Linked DNA regions of Macaca mulatta. The protein of the gene in region 2 interacts with the protein of the main gene of each other region in a biochemical or structural test. Links are inferred from orthologs where the notes say so. Each region holds a gene or a part of one and is shown on either strand. Other genes may lie near its edges. The genes, in order: MGMT and PRKCA.

What was found.
Region 1: of the proteins of PRKCA (region 2) and MGMT, one has a biochemical effect on the other in vitro, tested with the Homo sapiens proteins (2 studies listed by BioGRID). The link is inferred for Macaca mulatta from reciprocal best matches to the Homo sapiens genes PRKCA and MGMT.

The regions. Positions count from the first base shown.
Region 1 is NC_133414.1:141,515,448-141,525,193, reverse strand, and holds the start of MGMT (methylated-DNA--protein-cysteine methyltransferase), read right to left. Parts: upstream 5,455-9,746; 5' UTR 5,446-5,454; coding exon of another isoform or gene 5,365-5,445; intron 5,102-5,364; exon of another isoform or gene 5,015-5,101; intron 1-5,014. UniProt on the Homo sapiens protein: Involved in the cellular defense against the biological effects of O6-methylguanine (O6-MeG) and O4-methylthymine (O4-MeT) in DNA. Repairs the methylated nucleobase in DNA by stoichiometrically transferring the methyl group to a cysteine residue in the enzyme.
Region 2 is NC_133421.1:76,435,265-76,444,529, forward strand, and holds part of PRKCA (protein kinase C alpha type), read left to right. Parts: intron 1-4,398; coding exon 4,399-4,555; intron 4,556-5,594; coding exon 5,595-5,729; intron 5,730-6,240; coding exon 6,241-6,337; intron 6,338-9,265. UniProt on the Homo sapiens protein: Calcium-activated, phospholipid- and diacylglycerol (DAG)-dependent serine/threonine-protein kinase that is involved in positive and negative regulation of cell proliferation, apoptosis, differentiation, migration and adhesion, tumorigenesis, cardiac hypertrophy, angiogenesis, platelet function and inflammation, by directly phosphorylating targets such as RAF1, BCL2, CSPG4, TNNT2/CTNT, or activating signaling cascade involving MAPK1/3 (ERK1/2) and RAP1GAP.

The DNA.
Region 1 (9,746 bases), on a different chromosome or scaffold from region 2:
CAAGGGCACAGGATTATAACTCGTGAAGCCAGGTCCAAATGGAAGCCAGTCTGTTCCCAGAAGGTGCGCTCCTGACTGCCATGCACACGCCCCCGGTGAGGGCTTGGGTGCGTGCAGATCTGCAAAATAAAGATTCGGACTGGACTCGGGGAAAACAAGGGCTCGAAATGGTTCTTCACCGTCTTCTCGTTTCATCCTTCCATGAGACTCAGCTCCAAATTAAAATTTCTACCTATGTAGTGGGTAAAATTTTACTTAAAAAAAAATAAGGATTTATTGTCTCGTGTGCTTATACTACCCAGGTAGACAGAATAAGCATGATCGTCCCCACCCAATAGATGAGGAGGTGCCTGGAGGGCTAAGAGTTTCCCAGGGTGACCCAGCTAGGAAAGAGCATCACTCCCACACACGGTTCTGGCACTTTCTGTAGAAAAGCTCAATTCTGTTCCACAAAATGTATTCAGCTGTGCCTCTGAAAGTTAACCCTCACCTGAGACCAGGAAAATGCTTTGACCCAGCAGGGGATAAAAACAAGACAACCCTCTCAAAAGGAAAGGGGGGGTGAAATATGATATGGCTGTCCATTCTTCACATTTGTTTGTAAAACTAACGCTAAAACTAACGCTAAAGTTTTGGTAACATCTGCACCTGGTCATAACCACAAAACTGAAAATTCGAATGCTATGATAACATGTTGGGTTTGCAATCTGAAGAGATTCACATCTCTCAGGAGTTACAAAACCTTACTCTGACCCATATGCACAGACAACCTGCAGCAATGCCAACTGCCAATGGATCCTTCTGGAACGGGGACTTGGAGCTTGCCTGGGCTGGACAGTGCTACTTCCCAGAGGATCCTAAGGACTTCCCTAGAGGTGCTCAAGCATTAGGGTCTGCCAGAATCCCCTGGCATCCCTAGGTTCTGATCCTGTAGGTCTGCCATGGGGCCCTGTAATCGAGAGACCTCTCTAGCCAGCACCCACAGTAATTCTGATGCAGAGGGCCCAGGCCACCCTCAGAGAAACACTCTGCCGCTGTTGCTTGTGAAGACCCCACTTTACGGAGAGCAACAGGTTCGAGGGGCTGTGACTCGTCAGGCCTTGCCGGAATCGCATTCCGGTGGTGGCTCTTACCCCACACAAGCAGGAGAGACGCCTGAACATGACATCCCTGGCTGCCCACCCGAGTCCTCTTGGTTGGAGAGTAAAATGTAGCTAAAAGTTTAAAAACAAATGATAAATAACTAGCAATTATTACATTTCAACATACAATGCCCCATCTCCTTCTCTGCCCTGAGATTCATTCACTCTCTTTACCCACCTAAATATCTCTGAACATCCTGTGCCAGAATTGCCTGATCTGTCAATAGGGTAAAAGTTTTCTAAACCTCTATGCATATGACTCAATTTGTCGGTAAAAACTGCCACCCGCGCTGTGCTTGCAGAAAATTGTCCATAAACACATCACTGTGACTGGCAGAACGATGCCTATAATAAAAACAAATAGATTTAACAAGTGCCTGCTTTTACACGCCACGCCGCTGGTGGACTATCCATTCGGTGTCCCCCAGCTCAGGCTTCTGGGAATGGGCGACAGGGCTGGGTGGGAGACTTTGCCCACTTCACAAGCATCACGGGTAGAGAATTACTCTACCAAGAAACTTTTAGGAGCAGGAGAGTGAACACACCAGCCATTTATCGCGCTCTCACCATTCCTTTCGTGGTTACGCACACTATAACCAATTTAACAACCATAAGAAAATGTTTTTGTAGAATTTTTTACTGGTTTTAGAACAGCTACCTCCGGTGGGGGGTGAAGGGGACATGAGGCCTCCTTGGAGAACCCGGCTCTGCTGTTAAGCCACTGATTCAACTGAAAACAACTTGTGGGGTCAAAACCAAGTTTCATCCTTCCGTGCATCTGCATGGGCAGTCCCCAGGGCGGCCTATTCAGTTATTTAGCTGGAGGAGCTTCGGGCGTGCAGGCTGCCACCAACTGGCTTCGCTGCCGGGACCCAGCACCTTGGCAGGTCTCAGTGTTTGATCCCTTTACAGGTGAACCACACCAGCCAAAGCCACTCTAATACTTCAAAGATCAACAAAATCAAAAAAATGATTTCTTCCTTTTCGTAAATCACTTTAATAGCTCTATGAAGGAGGAAGTCATTCATTACATTCCATACTATATTCATTAATTAGTTTTCCCCAAACCACGCAGCCCTCCTATATAAGCTGTACTGTCAATTTTTTTAAGTCAAAAAAAAAAAACAGACTATTTCCACCAACCAGCAGACATGCAGCAGTTAATGAAAAGCCACAGAACATACATCTTGCAACATTTGGTCCACAACACAAGGTCTCCAACTTCTACTTAGCTCTGCCCAAGACAGGCCTGCAGAGCTAACAGCATAGGTTCACAAACTCCTCATGCCAACCAACGGCCCTCCTGGACAGCTCAAACCTCCTCCCTCCCAGATAAACCCTTTCACTTCAAACCAAGAGTGGGGCGTAGGGCTGGCTTGTACATCATGAGCGTCTATATAAAGACCATACCACCCCACGGTCAGGTTATGGTTTATGTGTCTCTGACTTTAAATCCTTCAGGTCTGGTTTAAATAATATCCTGCAGGGCCAGACACGGTGGCTCATGCCTGTAATCCCAGCACTTTGGGAGGTCTAGGAGGGAAGATCACTTGAGTCCAGGAGTTCGAGACCACCCTAGGCAATATAGGGAGACCCTGCCTCTAAAAAAAATATTAGCCAGGCATGGTGGCACACACCTGTAGTCCCCGCTACTCAGGAGGTCAAAGCAGGAGGTTCACTTGAGCCCAGGAGTTTGAGGCTGCAGTGAGCTATGCACTCCAGCCTGGGCGACAGAGCAAGCCCTTGTCTCTAAAAGTAATAAAATAATATTCTGTGGTAAGACCCGAGCCCAGAAAGTAGCTGGATCAAAAGCTACCTGTCCCAGGAAACAGAGAGTCAGGAAGGACTGTAGCAGCAGCCCAAGAGCCAAATGAGTACAGGGCCCTTCAGGGTCTGGGAGGTTCAATGTGTCCCCTGGAGGAACTAGAGTCCCAAAGGGAAGTCAAAAACCTCACGGCAAGTGGATCTGAACAAGGAACTTTATATTGGGGAAGGGGGTCAGAATGAAGCGCAAAAACAATCAAAGAATAATGCTAAAGGAAAAGATAATGCAGAAAATTCAGTTTTGCCTTCATTTTCTTTCTATCAAAAAGAATATACTATAAATTGAAAAGGGTATTAACACCAAAAAAAAAAAAAAAACCAACCGGAAGGTTTGAGTCACTGGCTCCTAAACGTATGTCCTCTGCAAAACAGGACAATTTAGTAAGTTTATTTTATTATAAAATACCAGAAGAGTCAGGGCTTTGGTGTCCTAAGAAAGGGTAGGAAGAAGACTGGAGAGGAACAAACTCTAAGGGGGCAATGGGGAAGGCAAGTTCTTTTTCAGGCCTTCCTGCCCCCTTCTTCCTGCAAAAGAAGAGAGGAGGCCCTGATTGAGACACCTGGGAAGGAAACCCAAACAATGAAAGGTAAGCCCCAGGTGATATCAACGTAAGACCTCAACAAGTTTCAAGAATCTGAGCAGCTGAACAAAGTGCTACCCAATGTTACCTAGGGCTCTATTTCTTTCAACCTTACTAACAGCAAAGCCTTTTTAAAGTAGTGCCTAATACTATTAGTTAAATCGTTATTGTGATACAGATTTTTTTTTCCTTTGGGACAGAGTTTCACTCTCGTTGCCCAGGCTGGAGTGCAATGGCGCAATCTCAGCTCACTGCAACCTCCACCTCCCAGGTTCAAGAAATTCTCCTGCCTCAGCCTCCCAAGTAGCTGGGATTACAGGCACGCACCACCACACCTGGATAATTTTTGGATTTTTAGTAGAAACGGGGTTTCACCATGTTGGTCAGGCTGGTCTCCAACTTCCGACCTCGGGTGATCCACCCACCACAGGCTCCCAAAGTGCTGGGATTACAGGCGTGAGCCACCGTGCCTGGCCCAGATATTTTTTATTATTATTAAAATATATACATTGAAAAGTACCTGAGTATAGCTCTGTACTGGAGGCCTACTTCATCCAGGCCCCTGACTGTGGCAGATACCACCCCACTATTCAAATTCTAACAGGAGAGGGAGGGCCCAGGAAGACAGATACGACAGGCGGCAGAGTAAGGCCAGCTCTCCTCTGCTACTTGCAGGCACGCTCTGGGTCCCAGCAAGTATCCTGGCCCTCTGAGTTAATGTGTTGTTAACAATCAGCCAGGCTCTTGACGCGGTTTCCTTCAAAGTTTTCACAGCCCCACCCACCAAGTGTGCTAAGCTTTCGTTTTTTTTAAATCTGTTCATCTCTCAGAGTGTTTTAGCCACTGAGTGGGCCCTGAAAATAACAAAACCATCTCCTAGTCACCTGCCCAGGGATGGGGCAGATGACGGGAGAGTCTGCCTTCACAGATACTCTATAGGTTTATATTTGGATGTCTATGTAAATAACCAGTCTAATTCTCAGCTCTCTGTGCTTAACTCTCTCTGCTTAATATTCTACTGAGAACAGCTGTGGTGACCCCTCTCCGGACCAAGCCGCTTCCCTCAGTCTGATGATGGTCCCAGCAGGCAAAGGTTGCACACACATGTACAAAGTCTGCTTTCCAGGATAGAAAGCCAGCTACCCAGCTGAGGCAACTGAGAGCAAACACCACCCTGAGATTTCAGGAGATGATGAACCCAGGAGTGCGAAATACATAGTTCAGAACTCCTCTGCGGTGTTGTCACCAATGTGGGAATTACGGCGCCCAGTGTGTGTGGCTCTCCAGCGAGCCTTGCTTACTCCCAGGTATTGATGAATACAATTAGGGTGTGAGGTACACAAACACCAGCCATGGTTAGGAGGAGGCCCCTAGAACTTGGCCTCCAGCAGGAAGGAAATATGGGACTCTGCCCAAGTATGCTAAAGGCTTGCTGCAAGCCAAGGCCCGCGCAGGGGCTTCTGGAAGCTTCCCGGAGCAGCTGGCGGAGGGAAAGCTGGCAGCATGGAGGGGCAGGAAGAACCCGGGGCCCGGGCCTGGAGCCGGCACCCGGAGGTAAGGCAGGGGCTGCCACGAACCCCGCCACACGCCAGGCCACAGTCACTGCAGCGCAGCTTGGTCCAGGAACCCTAGGCCCGGGGGAAGGCTGGGCAACACTTTGGAGGCACTTGGGGCGCACCTGGAGTTCGCCCGGGGTAGGTGGCTGTCAGGGCGGCCCCAGACCCGAGTGAGGGCGCCTGCAGGACCACTCGAGACTGCCGCCGTCCCGAGGCAGAGCCCCGCAACTCTGCCGGGAGCGAGGCGACCCAGACACTCACCAAGTCGCAAACGGTGCGGACCGCGAGGACCTGCGGGCGCCGGCACGCAAAGCGTTCTAGTGGCGCGGGCCGTCCCAGCATATCCGGGGCGCGGGGGCGGGGCCGAGGGGGCGCGGGGCTGGCGGCATGGGGCGGGATCTAGAGCGGGGCGGAGCCGAGGACCTGAGAAAAGCAAGAGAGCGCGCGGGGGCGGGGCCGGGGCGCGCGGGGGCGGGGCCGGGGCGGGGCGGGGTGTTCCCGCCCGACCGGGTCGGCGCATGTCCAGTGCGGCGGCGCCGGACCTGAGCCACTCTGCGCAGCCTCGCTGGTGCCGACCCGCGGGCCCGGGTCCTGCAGCAGAGCTAGCTACTCTGTGCGCCTGACACCCCGGCCCTTTGGCCGGTACAAACCAGGCAGCGTCTTCCCAGCTTCCGCCTCAGGTTCTGTGCCTTAGTTTGCCAAATAGCCCATACCTTTTCCTGTCACAGGGATAGTCCGCGGGCGTGCAAGCGACCTGCCACGTGCCCGAGTGGTCCTGAAGGCGCGCGGGGGTCGTAGGACGGCGCCCGCTTAGTGAGAATCCCAGTCCTGCTCGGGGCGGCTACACTGAGCCCGGAGCGCGAGTCTTTCCCCTCCTGAGGCCGCTTCCCGGGTCAGGGACCCTCAGACCAGCAGAGACCCTGTCAGGGGGCCGTGGGGCAGCCTCCAGGGCCTGTGGTGGGCGGTCCCGTCCAGGCGCTGTAGTCACCGATGGCCTAGACACGGCCAGGGCCTGACTCAGTCGCTCTGCAGAAAGCGCACAGGGTGCCAGGCCCTGCTTGGGGTTGTGTGGACATTATTAGGAGCTGAATTGTGTCCACCAGAAAAGCTATGTTGGAGTCCTAACTCCCAGTACCTCACAGTGTGACCATACTTGGATATGGGGACTTTACAGAGGTAACAAGTTAAAATGAAGCCATCAATTAGTGGGCCCCTCATCCAGTAGGACTCGTGTCCTTATAGGCAGAAGGCCGCGTGGGGAGGAGGAGTGGAGGGCTGCACCTGCAAGCCGCCAGAAGCCAAAGAGGACAGACTCTTCCCTGGAGCCTTCGGAGGGAGCAGGGTCCTAACACACCTTGGATTCAAACTTCCGGAAGTGTGAGACAATAGGTTTCTGTTGTTTAAAGCCACTCAGTGTGTGGCACTTTATTATGGCAGCCCCAGGCAATGGGTACGGAAACCATTGTCTCTAACATGGTTGGCATAACCACCCCAGGGAGTAGTATCATCCCTGGAGGCTTCGGAGAGGTCACACACCCCTTGGCAGTTTCAAGGATCCCATCCGATGCCCACATGCTCTAAGGCACCATGCTATGGGCCTTCTAGGTTCTGTTATCTTGATGGAAAGGGGTCTTCGCCTTCCCAGTGTAGCTTCCCAGCTGGGATTTGGCCAATGCTCATACCTTCGTATTTGTGACTTGCAGGATCCAACATGTTAGCATGAGTGATAAGGGTTGTTCAGAGGAGAACTTCAGCAGGATTTGCTTTGGGATGAGCCCCGGTGACAATACAGGCTGCATCATTGATCCTCTGAGGTTCCTCACCCTGGACCGTGCCTTGGATGAGACATGTTTTAAATGGCTGCTTGTGGAAAATAAACTAGGCCCTGAGTACACAGTATAATGGTCAAATCAGGGCACTTTTTCCCCACTGAGCCTGGACACAGCCTCGGAATCCTTCTTAATACTGTGTTCCAAGCAGCTATTCACATTTCAACTAATGTGGAAGGAGAGATGAAACATGTTTGGCCTTGGCTCTGGTTTTTTCTATCAGCCTTCTGTAAGACTTTGGGAAACTCATCTGACTTCTCTAATCCTCAGTTTCATACTCTGTAAAGGAGTCTTATGATCATGTACCGTGCATGTATACAAACTATCCTTCCATATTAGGCCATGTGTGCATAGGGAAAATAAACCACCAGCACCACACCATACTACTGAGAAATGATGCTATACACCGGGCCGCTTACAGCCTGTTACTACCAGGACCCAGTTAGAACCAGGATCCCAATAGAACCGAAGGAAAAACAATGCCGAAATGGAATCAGAGTGCCGACCAGTATTCTAACAAGTGTGCTGTTAAGTAGTTTTGCAGTTAACACAGGACTCATACGTTTATCTGAATAATATTTTCAGACGAATACCTAAACTCTTAAGAAAAAGAGACTGGCCCGTCTTAGTATCTCTCATTCCCCACCCTAGGAAAGAAAGGCCAATGTGGTCATCCAAAGGCCCTTTAGGAGGGCCCTGTGGGAATGGGGAGGTGGTCCACGAGAGAAAGTGCTGGCTTCCTGGGGAGACGTGTGGACCTGGCCCTGGCTCCACTGACAGGACTCAGTCCCGTTGCTGGTGTGGTAGGAAGGACTATATGAAGGGCCACAGCTACTTCAGTGGTAAGGACTGTGTCAGGGCTCCAAGATCAGGAGCCGAATGTGGGTCTCAGCGCAGAGGGGCAAGAGGGAAAAGGCCACCACCTGACCAATGACTGGCCTGCAAAAGACCAGGATTCAAGGATGTGACCGCTTACGCTGTCCGATGAGCAGAACTCAAACCCACACTCCCTACACTTGCTGGTGCAAGCTCCTCCCTTCATCATGGTAATTTCAAAAACCGTTTTCATCAAGAGCTCCCCCACGCCTCTCCCCCTTGTCCCATTACAATCTCATCATCGCCTGCGTATTCATCCTACTGTTAAAGGAACACAGGATGGCTCCAAAGCGAGGAGGTCACCGGGTCCACTGAAGAGTAAGGAACACAGGACAGGGAGGCTCAGATGTGGTGCCAGCCGTACCCCTCACTGAGCAACCCCTGACTTCTCTGTTGATAGGATGACAGCGCAGGACTAGTTGGGTGAGATTCCTTTGAGGTCTCCCATCTTCGGATTAACAAATCACAACCCCTTTTTCTCCAGACACAGATTCCTATGAAGAACGTTTTACAAAAGAGGTGGGAAAACCGCAAAAGGGTATGCTCAACTCCATTCTGACTTCTTCAAGGAGCTCCCTGGATTTCCTTTAAGATCAGCCAGCTTTCTTGTGGGCACTGGGAACAATGTTAATTTGCATAGTTTCTTTAAACATCCAAATAGATACCTTTTGGGTTAAGCAAATGAACATGACATGCGATTGCTTCTAATGATTTGCAACCCAAGAAATTTGTTTAATAAGCCTGTCTTCCCAAGCTACTTTTGTGACATTAGAGACCATTTACAACAAAGCTGTCTTCAGTAGTCAACCTTAATCCTTACTACCCTACCTTTGGGAAATGAAAGGATTTTATAACGATCACATAAAACCTTATGTGGTTTGAAAGCCCCAAACTCCGGACAAATGTGTGATGGTCGTGTAACAAAAGAAACATATTACAGAGCTCCCCACTTTAAGTGTTTTACATATGGTTTGCTTTTAGGATAGCATCTCTGGTGGAGGGCTTTGCTGATTAACACAATTGATTTTCTTAGCCCCAGTGTTCCTGTAAACGTTGGAGCCAAGAGCTGGAGTCAGTGCCTTGGACCTGGGAGAGGCCAGGAGGCCAGGGAGCCTCAAGCACTCTGGAGGAAGAAGCCTGAAATGAAAAGGTGGAGGCCATCAGTAGCGGGGTTGGGTGCCAGGTGCTTCTGATTACACTCCTGTGTGACACTAGTTGTCAGCATGGCAGAAGCATTGTGGTGTAACTGCAGTAGGGAGTGTAATCCATGAGTAGGCAGGAGGAAGGGCGGGAAGGAGGGACTTCAGGCTTTGCCTCACACAGAGGGTAAGGGAATGGTGCAGGGTGGAGAAAGGGGATGGGGGTGCAACTAAAACAGGAGGGGCTCCTTGGCTCTTGCATTCCTCCAGAGAGGCAGAACATCCTCCTGCCAGGAGCCCCTGGGAGCTCCTGTTGAGATCTGGAAGCCTTCAGGCCCTTTTGTGTCAAGAAGGGCAGGAAGGATAATTCCTAAGGAAATGAACCAGAGGCAGCCCAAAGACTCCTATTCGAAAGACTTTTCCTGAAACTTCCTTTGCCAGTTTGTGGGTGCAGGGCCTGGAGATGGATTTACGCAGGCCCTTGTGGGGCTTGTAGTGGAATGGTGCACAGATAAGGAAACAGTTTGCTCTCTGGAGCAGTGCTCTACCCAGGAGATGTGCGGGGGCAGTGGGAGTGCAAAGGAGGCCCCTCCCTGCGCTGACTCTCCCTGCAGCAAGCCCTTTTCCTTTTTTTTCTCTCTTTTTCTTTTTTTGAACTGGAGTCTCTCTCTGTCACCCAGGCTGTAGTGCAATGGTGCCATCTTGGCTCACTAACCTCTGCCGCCCGGGTTCAAGCGATTTTCCTGCCTCAGCCTCCCAAGTAGGTGGGATTACAGGCACACACCACCATGCCCAGCTA
Region 2 (9,265 bases):
TGATTTTTGTGTGTGTGTTTCCTTATCTTGATTCTGTGGGTCGAAACAAGTTGGTTCTTGCAGAAAGTGAAAGACAAGAAATGAGCCGTGGGACAGGTGCCGGGTCTGTTCTTCTTGGACCCAGTACTGCTGTTAGGCTGTGGAATATTCCACTTCCTTAATAACCACGGAATTGGCATTCCCTCCAACTGTGCTTCCCAAGTGTGGGATGGGGCCACTGATGGGTGTGACTTCTGGTTGCACTTAAGGTGATTTCTGAAGGTACTATACGGATGTTAAAAAAACCTTAAATTACATGATGAGTTAGTTATTCCCAATTTTCTGTCCATCTCAGTTGAAGCAGCAAAGATTTCTGGGGCTGGAATATCCTTAAAACTCTAGCACTTGTTAATTTCCCCTTTGTAGCTAAGAGACTGAAGATCTCAGGCAACTGGATCCAGCTAGAAATGAGTAACATCGATTTTCGTTGTGTTTACTTTTCTGGTTACCTTCCATTTATGGCAAACAATCTTGGTTTTCTGTTTCCTGTAGTGATACATTTCCTTTTTAAATGGTGGCTATTAAAAAGGGAGCCAATTGAAAGAAAAATGTGAATAATAGTCGAAGTCTTCAAATGATGTCGGTGTGTTAGGCCAGGGAGCACACTCGGAGGGCGAGTGCTGAGTGCAGTGAAGAGTGCTGGCTGCACCTGAGGCTTCTCTGGGGAGCTTCACCATCCTGATGCCTGGGCCTCAACCCGGACCAAGTAGATCTGACTCTCTGAGGGCGCGGCCCAGGGATCAGGGTTTGACTAAAACATCCCAGGTGTTTCCAGGGTATAGCTGAGGTTGAGAACATCTGCCCACCTAGCCTGGGCTGCCCTCTGACTCCACATCTTTTTTTGGCAGGTGGGGGGATAGAGTCTCACTGTGTCGCCCAGGCTGGAGTGCAGTGGCACAATCTCGGCCCACTGCAGCCTCCGCCTCCCGGGTTCAAGCAATTCTCGTGCCTCAATCTCCTATCTGGGATTACAGGTGCCCACCAGCACACCCGGCTCCTTTTTGTATTTTTAGTAGAAACGGGGTTTCACCATGTTGGCCAGACGGGTCTCAAACTCCCAACAGCATGTGATCCACCCACCTCAGCCTCCCAAAGTGTTGGGATTTGACGCCACTTCTCGATCGCGTCTTTCCCTTGTTTCTCTCTTCTGTCTCTAGCCCTTATTCTCATCTGCTTCCCCACTTCAATTTTCCTCTTATGTTCTCTTTCCTAGCTTCCCCTCTTCCAGCTTCCTTACAACTACTCCTATGAGTAATGCCCCCTAGCATTGTCTCTTAGACTGACGTTCTTGAAACCATACAGTTGCAACCCTGTTAGAACATTGCCACACTGTACTGTTTTCCCTGACATTTGCTTGCCACTCCGTAAGCTGTCAGTGCAGTTTCTGCGCATCTAAGGCTTGTCAATTTTGTTCTCCACCAGTAACTTGTATGAAGAGCAATTATGATCATTGCTATTATGCTCTCACCGTGTGCCTATCACTGCTCTAAGCACTTTACATGTATGAGCCTACATAATCCTGACTTGAAGGAGATATAATTTTCCAGATGAGGAAACTTAGGGACATAAAATAGCTTGTCCACAGCCACAGAGTGGCAGAGCCAGAATGCAAACGCAGGCAGCCTTGCCCCAGATCCTACACTCTGAGATGGGACCCCAAGTTAGTTGCTCATAATCCTGATTCAGGTGTCCTGGCATGCCATGAGTCACACATCATACAGGCTGTTCTCTGCTGTGATAAGAAATTGAAATTTGGACCCACTATCTGCTTCAATGACATTTGGAATTGATAACTCTTTTTATTTTCAACTTATTTTATTTGCAACTTAAATGATAGTATCTCAGTAGGAAGCTCACAGCTTTAAATCCCATCAAGATTTTAACTCATCACCATTCAGAAGAGATCCTACTTAAATGATTTTTTGTGTGTGTTGTCTGTCAGGAATATAAATTGAAGATATAAAAGCCAGCACCCGCAATAATTCTGCAACTGGCAGGAGGCAACGCAGGACCTCTTGGTGGCCTTGATAAAGGTCTTCTTTGGCTTGTCCAGGATGTGACCTTCTGCAGCCTCCATTGTTAGACATTCCAGGGCATTTTCTGCCTTTTAAAAAGCATCTGATTCTCATTCTGGTGTTTAATCAGAGAGAGCACGCTGGCCTCTTTCCATTCCTCATGGGAGAGCTCCATTTTTGTGCTCAATCTTTGGTGATACTCAGGGTTGATGTTTTAGTGGGCTAGACCTTCTGCATTGGATTAAAACCTTTCACATGAGCTTGATGAATTATCCAGTGACCAAGTCCCCTGGGGGCCTTCAGCCCTGTAGATTTCAGCATGATAAGAGTGGAAACGAGTCCATCATGCCTGGGGTGTAGTGAGCACTCACATCATGGATTTTTTTTTTTTTTTTTTCATTTTCCAAGCCCCTAACCATGTAAGGTGTTTTATAAGCATTCTTTTACTCGAGTCTCTCAACAATTCTATACTACTGGAATTATGCCCCTCTTCATTTTTCTAGATGAAGAAACATAGGCTCAGAGACAAAGCTTCCCAGTGCTCAGGGTTACATGGTGAAGGAGGCAGAGTTCGCACGTACACCTGCTGAGCCACAGGGACCATGCCTGTGTGTTTCATTTATGTGCTATCTGCTCCCCGAGATGAATGAGGTTAGATATTTTCTTAGGAGAAGAAATACTTGGAAGGCACAAATGGGGTACGAGAAACATATATTCAGCTTCTCTGTGGCTAGCAGGCCTGAGCCAGCCCCCTCCCCCTCTGTATTTGAATGTAGTCCCATCTGTTGCCCACCTGTGTAAGGCTGCCAGGTAAGGAGGATGTAAGGCTGTTGGCTGGCAGGAGGCGGCACACAGTAGGTCCACAGACTAGTAAAGGCAATGCCTGTCTGACTTCTGATCTTAGGGCTGTACCTCCCTCATTTGTGTCCAAAGACCCAACATCTTTAGGATTCTCCCCCCGCCCCCTCCCCATCTAACCGTGCCCACTGACAACTCCAGTGCCTTCTTCTAAAGTTCTTTTGTAATTCTTAATAATTAAACTATGCCGATAAACTATGCTAATTGCCTAGATCTGTGGTTCTGCAACATTTATGGACATCAGAATCACCCGGAGGCTTGATAAACACAGACCACTGGACCCCACCCCAGAGTTCTGATTCAGGAGATGATGCCAGTGCCGCCGGTCCAGGGACCACACTGTGGGAACCACTGGACCAGGGAGCCTGGTCCCAGTTATACGTGTGTTGATGGTGTCTGACCAGTTGCATATCTGGTAATTCAGCCTCACTGGGAAAGATGCCATGGGAAGATAATGAGGAAGGCATTTGGGGTAGGAGGCTCAGGCCTTTGTCCCTTCATCATAGCAGTAGATAATTACCTTTTACGTTGATGTGCAGTGGCGTTAGACAGCTTCTCACGGTTGTGAGCCTCTGCCAGCTCTTAAATCTCCGAGCCTGCTTTCTTCTGTGGACGAAATGGCGTTTCCTTCTAATTATTTTTGATTCCCATATCAGGTTTCTCAAGCTAGGATTGCATTGGAAGTGCCTGGAGGTCTTGTTAAAGTGAGGATTCTGAGTTATTAAGTCTGAGGTGGGACCCAAGGTTCTACATGTCTAATGAGCTCCCAGGTGATGTAGATGTCGCTGGTCCATGGATCAGCACCGGGCAGCAATTCTGAGTTACAGCTGTATACAGCAATGGTGCTTGCCCCTGCTGCCCAGTAGAATCACCCAAGGAGCTTTTAAAAACAAATATTTGAGCCACATTCCTTGGAGATTCTAGTTTAATTCTGGGGATTAGAATTTTTAACTCCCCCATTCCCCAACTCCCTTGTGATTCCAATGTACAGTCAGAGTTGGAAGCCATTGGCCTTTACCCACAAAAAGGGATAACACCTTCTGGGAGGTCAGGTGCATGTGCGGCACCATGGACCAGGTCGGGCTGGTTGCCTCCATGTTGGGAGGGTGCGCCATTACTCCTGGGGTGCTGCAGAGGTCACCTGGGAATCTTGTTAAATAATGGATTCTGCTTCGGCAGGTTTGGAGTGGGACCTGGATCTCTGCATTTCTAATAGATATCTGAGTGTTGCTGATGCTGCCAGTCCAGGCTGGTGCTGAGTCCCAAGACCCGCCCACAAGGGCCCACACGATGCCTGTTATCTCTGCCGGTGGTGGCAGTGGGTAGCTTTTCTCATGACGAGCGTTAGAGGCGTTTGGCTTCCCACCATCTCTCTCCTTAAATGCCATCCTGACTTCTCTTTTACTCAGCTTGGTATTGGCACAGGACACTGGGCAATATAGGTCCATTCTCTTTTTGTAATGTTTTCTTCCTTCTCTCTTCACAGTACGAGATGCAAAAAATCTAATCCCTATGGATCCAAACGGGCTTTCAGATCCTTATGTGAAGCTGAAACTTATTCCTGATCCCAAGAATGAAAGCAAACAAAAAACCAAAACCATCCGCTCCACACTAAATCCCCAGTGGAATGAGTCCTTTACATTGTAAGTGGTCTCTCCTTGATCAAATCTCGTTCCTATACACCATGCAGTTGCCCACCTCATTGTTTGAGGTAATGAAGTAGGTTCATTATAAACGTCTTTAAACGTGTCTTCAGTCCTAAGACCTCCTCAGGCTGCCATTAGGGAGGTAGCTATTAGCACCTGTTTGATAGATAGTAATTTGATTTACCAAGAGTTGCATAATTCCGGCCTCAAATTATTATCATTATCTAACCTGGTTAAACAATTCTGTGTAAGGTATTAAAGATGATGTAAAAATGTATCCGGTGTGTCCACCTCTCGATAGACTTAGGTTCTTTTGAGAGTTAGGGGAGGGCATAAGACAAGAATTTAAATAATTTTTAGACCACAGAATGAGTGAGTAATATAGGAAGTGTTATTGCCACTGAAACGGCAAGATCATTCTTGCCTTCAAAGAGAGAAGACCTCCTGGAAAAGAAAGGTGACACTTAAAGCCAGCCTGGGAGGGTTGCTAGGATTTCAGAGGTAGAGATGGTAGAAGGGGAAGAAGGAAGGAGGGAATAAATAAGTCAGGAAGACTGAGTGCAGCTGAGCAAAAGCAGGAGGTCCCCTTTGTAGACCAGTATACAGGAAGCAGCTTTTCTGTGGACAACCAGAAAGGTAGCTATCTATTCTAGAGGGACCAGCAAGCTCTGCTCTGTAAAGGATCAGATAGTATATATTTTAGGCCTTGTGGGTCATATAGCCTCTGTTGCACCTGTACAACTTTCTAGTGCCAAAGCAGCCATAGGCAATATGTAAACAAATAACCATGGCTGGGTTCTAATAAAACTTTATTTATAAAAATAGACGGTGGGCTAGATTTGGCCCATGGGTCATAGTTTGTTAACTCCTCCTGTAGCGCTTTGGTTGCCAGCATAAGGGGTTGGTATTTTACTGGACCAGGAAGAGAATCAAATATACTATTTCTGTATCTCAGGCTCAAATCATGTACAGGTGGTATCTCCCAAGAAACCATGATCAAAATAACCTAGTGTTTGCATGTGTGTGTGTCTTGTAGCAAACTGAAACCTTCAGACAAAGACCGACGACTGTCTGTAGAAATCTGGGACTGGGATCGAACAACAAGGAATGACTTCATGGGATCCCTTTCCTTTGGGGTTTCGGAACTAATGAAGATGCCAGCCAGTGGATGGTATGGAAGCTGCTGAGGTTGAATATGTCTCAAAGCATCAGACCATTTAGACAGTTAGGTTTCAGTCTCTAAAATGTCAGTTGAGACCGGACATGGTGCCTCATGCCTATAATCCCAGCACTTCAAGAGGCCAAGGCAGGTGGATTGCTTGAGCCCTGAAGTTTGAGACCAGCCTGGGCAATATGGAGAAACCCCATCTCTACAAAAAATACAAAAATTAGCCGGGCGTGGTGGTATAACCTGTAGTCCCAGCTACTCAGGAGGCTGAGGCTTGAGGATCGCTTGAGCCCAGGAGGTTGAGGCTGCCGTGAGCCGTGATTCACCACTGCCCTCCAGCCTGGGCAACAGAGCTACCCTGTCTCAAAAATATAAAAATTTAAAAAAGTCAAATGTCTACTTCTCTACCTGTAGCCTCTCCATAGGATGCGTTTCACAAAACAGCTTGACTAGAGGTTCAGGAGAAGGCTTGCTAAACTTGCGGTGGTAACTCTCTTTCTCCTGTCTTTGAAAGGTACAAGTTGCTTAACCAAGAAGAAGGTGAGTACTACAATGTACCCATTCCAGAAGGGGACGAAGAAGGAAACATGGAACTCAGGCAGAAATTCGAGGTGAGGATAACAAAATGCCTGGAAACACCTTTCCTATAGAAAGCCTGACTTCAGGAACAGCCGAGATAGTGTGGTCACATTTTCGAAAGGCAAAAAAGTAATCTAAATGTTAATGATCTTTTTCTTTATTTAAAAACATAAATGTTGTTCACTCCCTTTCCTTGGCAAGCTGTTGACTTTTTATGACTCTTATCACTTAGAAAATGGAAACTGGAAATATCCCAGAAATGAAAGCATGGTTGATTTTTGCATAAGAGATCGATTTGCACATCACTGGGGAGAGAAGCAGCCTCTGAGGGGCAGGATTGTTCTTACAAGGGAGGACTTGTGCTCTTCTAAAAAGGAGGAAGTCATTTTGGCCTTTCCTTGGGAGCTCATTTGTGTGTAATCAGGCTATCATCTGAGACTTTTTTTTTCCCCCTGCAGAAAGTACAAGGTTCCTAATTTTGTTCTGAAAGACCAGCTTAAACAAATATGCCTTTGTGTGTGATCCTTTTTTATCTATATTCCAAGTGTTCAGCAAAGGCCACCTCCCTCTCTTCTTCCTCTTGGCATTTGTGTTTGCCTCTGTCCCGGATTCCCTGGTCTTTTTTCTTCTCCTCCTCTGCTGCTTACTTCTCTTTTTCTTCTCCTCTCTCTCCCTTCTCCTCTTCCTTTACCAGACATCTCCGCTTTTAGTAAACAGTTCTTTTCTCTAAGCACCTTCCTTATGTTTTAAAGTCACAACTTCTAATATTTTTCTGCTTCTCTCATCACGCTTCATTTTGGCTGTTCGAGGGACTCGTAGAGTAGCCTTTTCAGTCTGTGTAACAGGTTAATTCCTTTGTGAATCTTTCTCTTCTTCAGACTCATTAGAATTCCCCAGAATTTCCCCACTCTAGAGCAATACACGTGCACACGCACACATGTGTATAGGTGCTGAACTGTTACTGAAATGTTGACACTAAAGGGATGCTATTGCTCCTGTTTTCCTTCTTCTGTTGTTCTCTAAGAAACAGACAGATCTGGGGGGTAGGGAAGAGTGGTCTTGGGAGGATAATAAACCTCCTTCATGCACCCTGCAAAAGAAACATATAGGTCTTATCCAGAGAGAATGAATCCCAAAGGATGTAAAACATGCAGTTGTTCAAATTACTTTGTTAAACTGATGTTTGGTTAAAGTCTATGTTGGTGGCAAATACTAAATGGCAGGGGCTCTGGTTAGATGTCCTTGGGAGCACGAACGAGTGAAATGATTCACAGGTGATAAATGGCAGTGAATAGCAGGCCTCAGGATTGAGGCAGTAGGGAGTGGTGGAGACTGGGGTAAGCTGGTAAGCTTGAGCCCTGTCTGCAGGTGGCAGCTACTGCTACCCTGCCCGACTTGATGTTTCTCACACACGAGTCCAGGCCTGTGTTGCCAGATCTTCCTTCTTCAAGAGAAGACAGAAATCCAGGTTTTTATGTGATACATTCTGATTTATCTTAATGTTGGCAGAGTTCTAATGTTAAAACTTAGAACCAGGCCAGGTGCGGTGTCTCACTCCTGTAATCCCAGTACTTTGGGAGGTTGAGGCAGGCAGATCACTTGAGGTCAGGAGTTCAAGACTGGCCAACATGTCGAAACCCTATCTCTACTAAAAATACAAAAATTAGCTGGGTTTGGTGGCACGCGCTTGTACTCCCAGCTACTCCAGAGGCTGAGGCATGAGAATTGCTTAAACCTGGGAGGCGGAAGTTGCAGTGAGCCGAGTTCATGCCACTGCACTCCAGCCTGGGCAACAGAGCAAGACTCTGTCTCAAAAAAAAAAAAAAAAAAAAAAAAAATTTTAGAACTGTCCAGATATGGTAGCTCACACCTATAGTCCCAGCACTTTGGGAGGCCAAGGCAGGCAGGTTGCTTAAGCTCACAAGTTTGAAACCAGCCTGGGCAACGTGGCGAAACCCAGCCTCTACGAAAAATGCAAACACTAGCAGGGTGTGGTGGCATGCGCCCGTAATCCCAACTACTCGGTGGCTGAGGCACGAGAATCACTCGAACTCGGGAGGCAGAAGTTGCAGTGAGCCAAGATCACACCACTGTACTCCAGCCTGGGCAACAGAGTGAGACCCTGACTCAAGAAAACAAACAAAATCTTAGAACTCTGTGTAGGTCAAATGTGCATCTATTGCTTTAGACACCAGTAGGATCCAACCAGTCAGAACCAGCTGGCAGTCTCTGCTCTTCAAAAATAGAGGAGAGAAAAAATAATTTTAAAAAATTATTTGTATAGTTGTATATATTAGAATATGTATAAATATAAATATGTGTGTGTATCTGTGTATCTACTATTTGTCTATCGATAGAAAAGAATGAGATTCTTTTCAAAGAGGCCTTATGATATTTAGAGGAATTCAAGTACAAAGATGAAAGTCAGGGTTTTGGGGCAGGTTCAAATGACTATGCCAGGCATAGCTCTTTTTCAATTTGTATTTCTTCCCTTGCTTCATTATCTGTTTCCACCCCTACCCTGCAGCTGAAGATGCAGACCCGGGGTACTAGAGAGGACCACCTTCTTGAGCCCCATCCCTGATGTCACACCACCTCTGTGACGGATGGATCCTTCTAGAGAGAGTTTCAGGACTGAGTGCCAGCATTCCTCAGCTGTCTCAGGCAGGGGAGGAACCTGAGGAGCCAGAAAGAACCTTCCTTACTGAACGTTATGCCGTGGTGTTGATCACGAACAGTCACTGGGTCAGGGGCTGCTGGCGCAGAAAGAATGCATTCGAGGGAGGAACAGCACGGGCGTTCCCCATGGGGTTCCTCACAGTAATGTCTGAGACTTAGCTTTGCTGCTGGAGAAATATTGACCCACTCTTTGTGCTTCATTGTCGTGGCTTCCTGGTGAGTAAACCTCCTGTTTTTCTGGGCAGTGAGTTCAGCTTTTTATAAAGGTCAGAGTTCCAAAC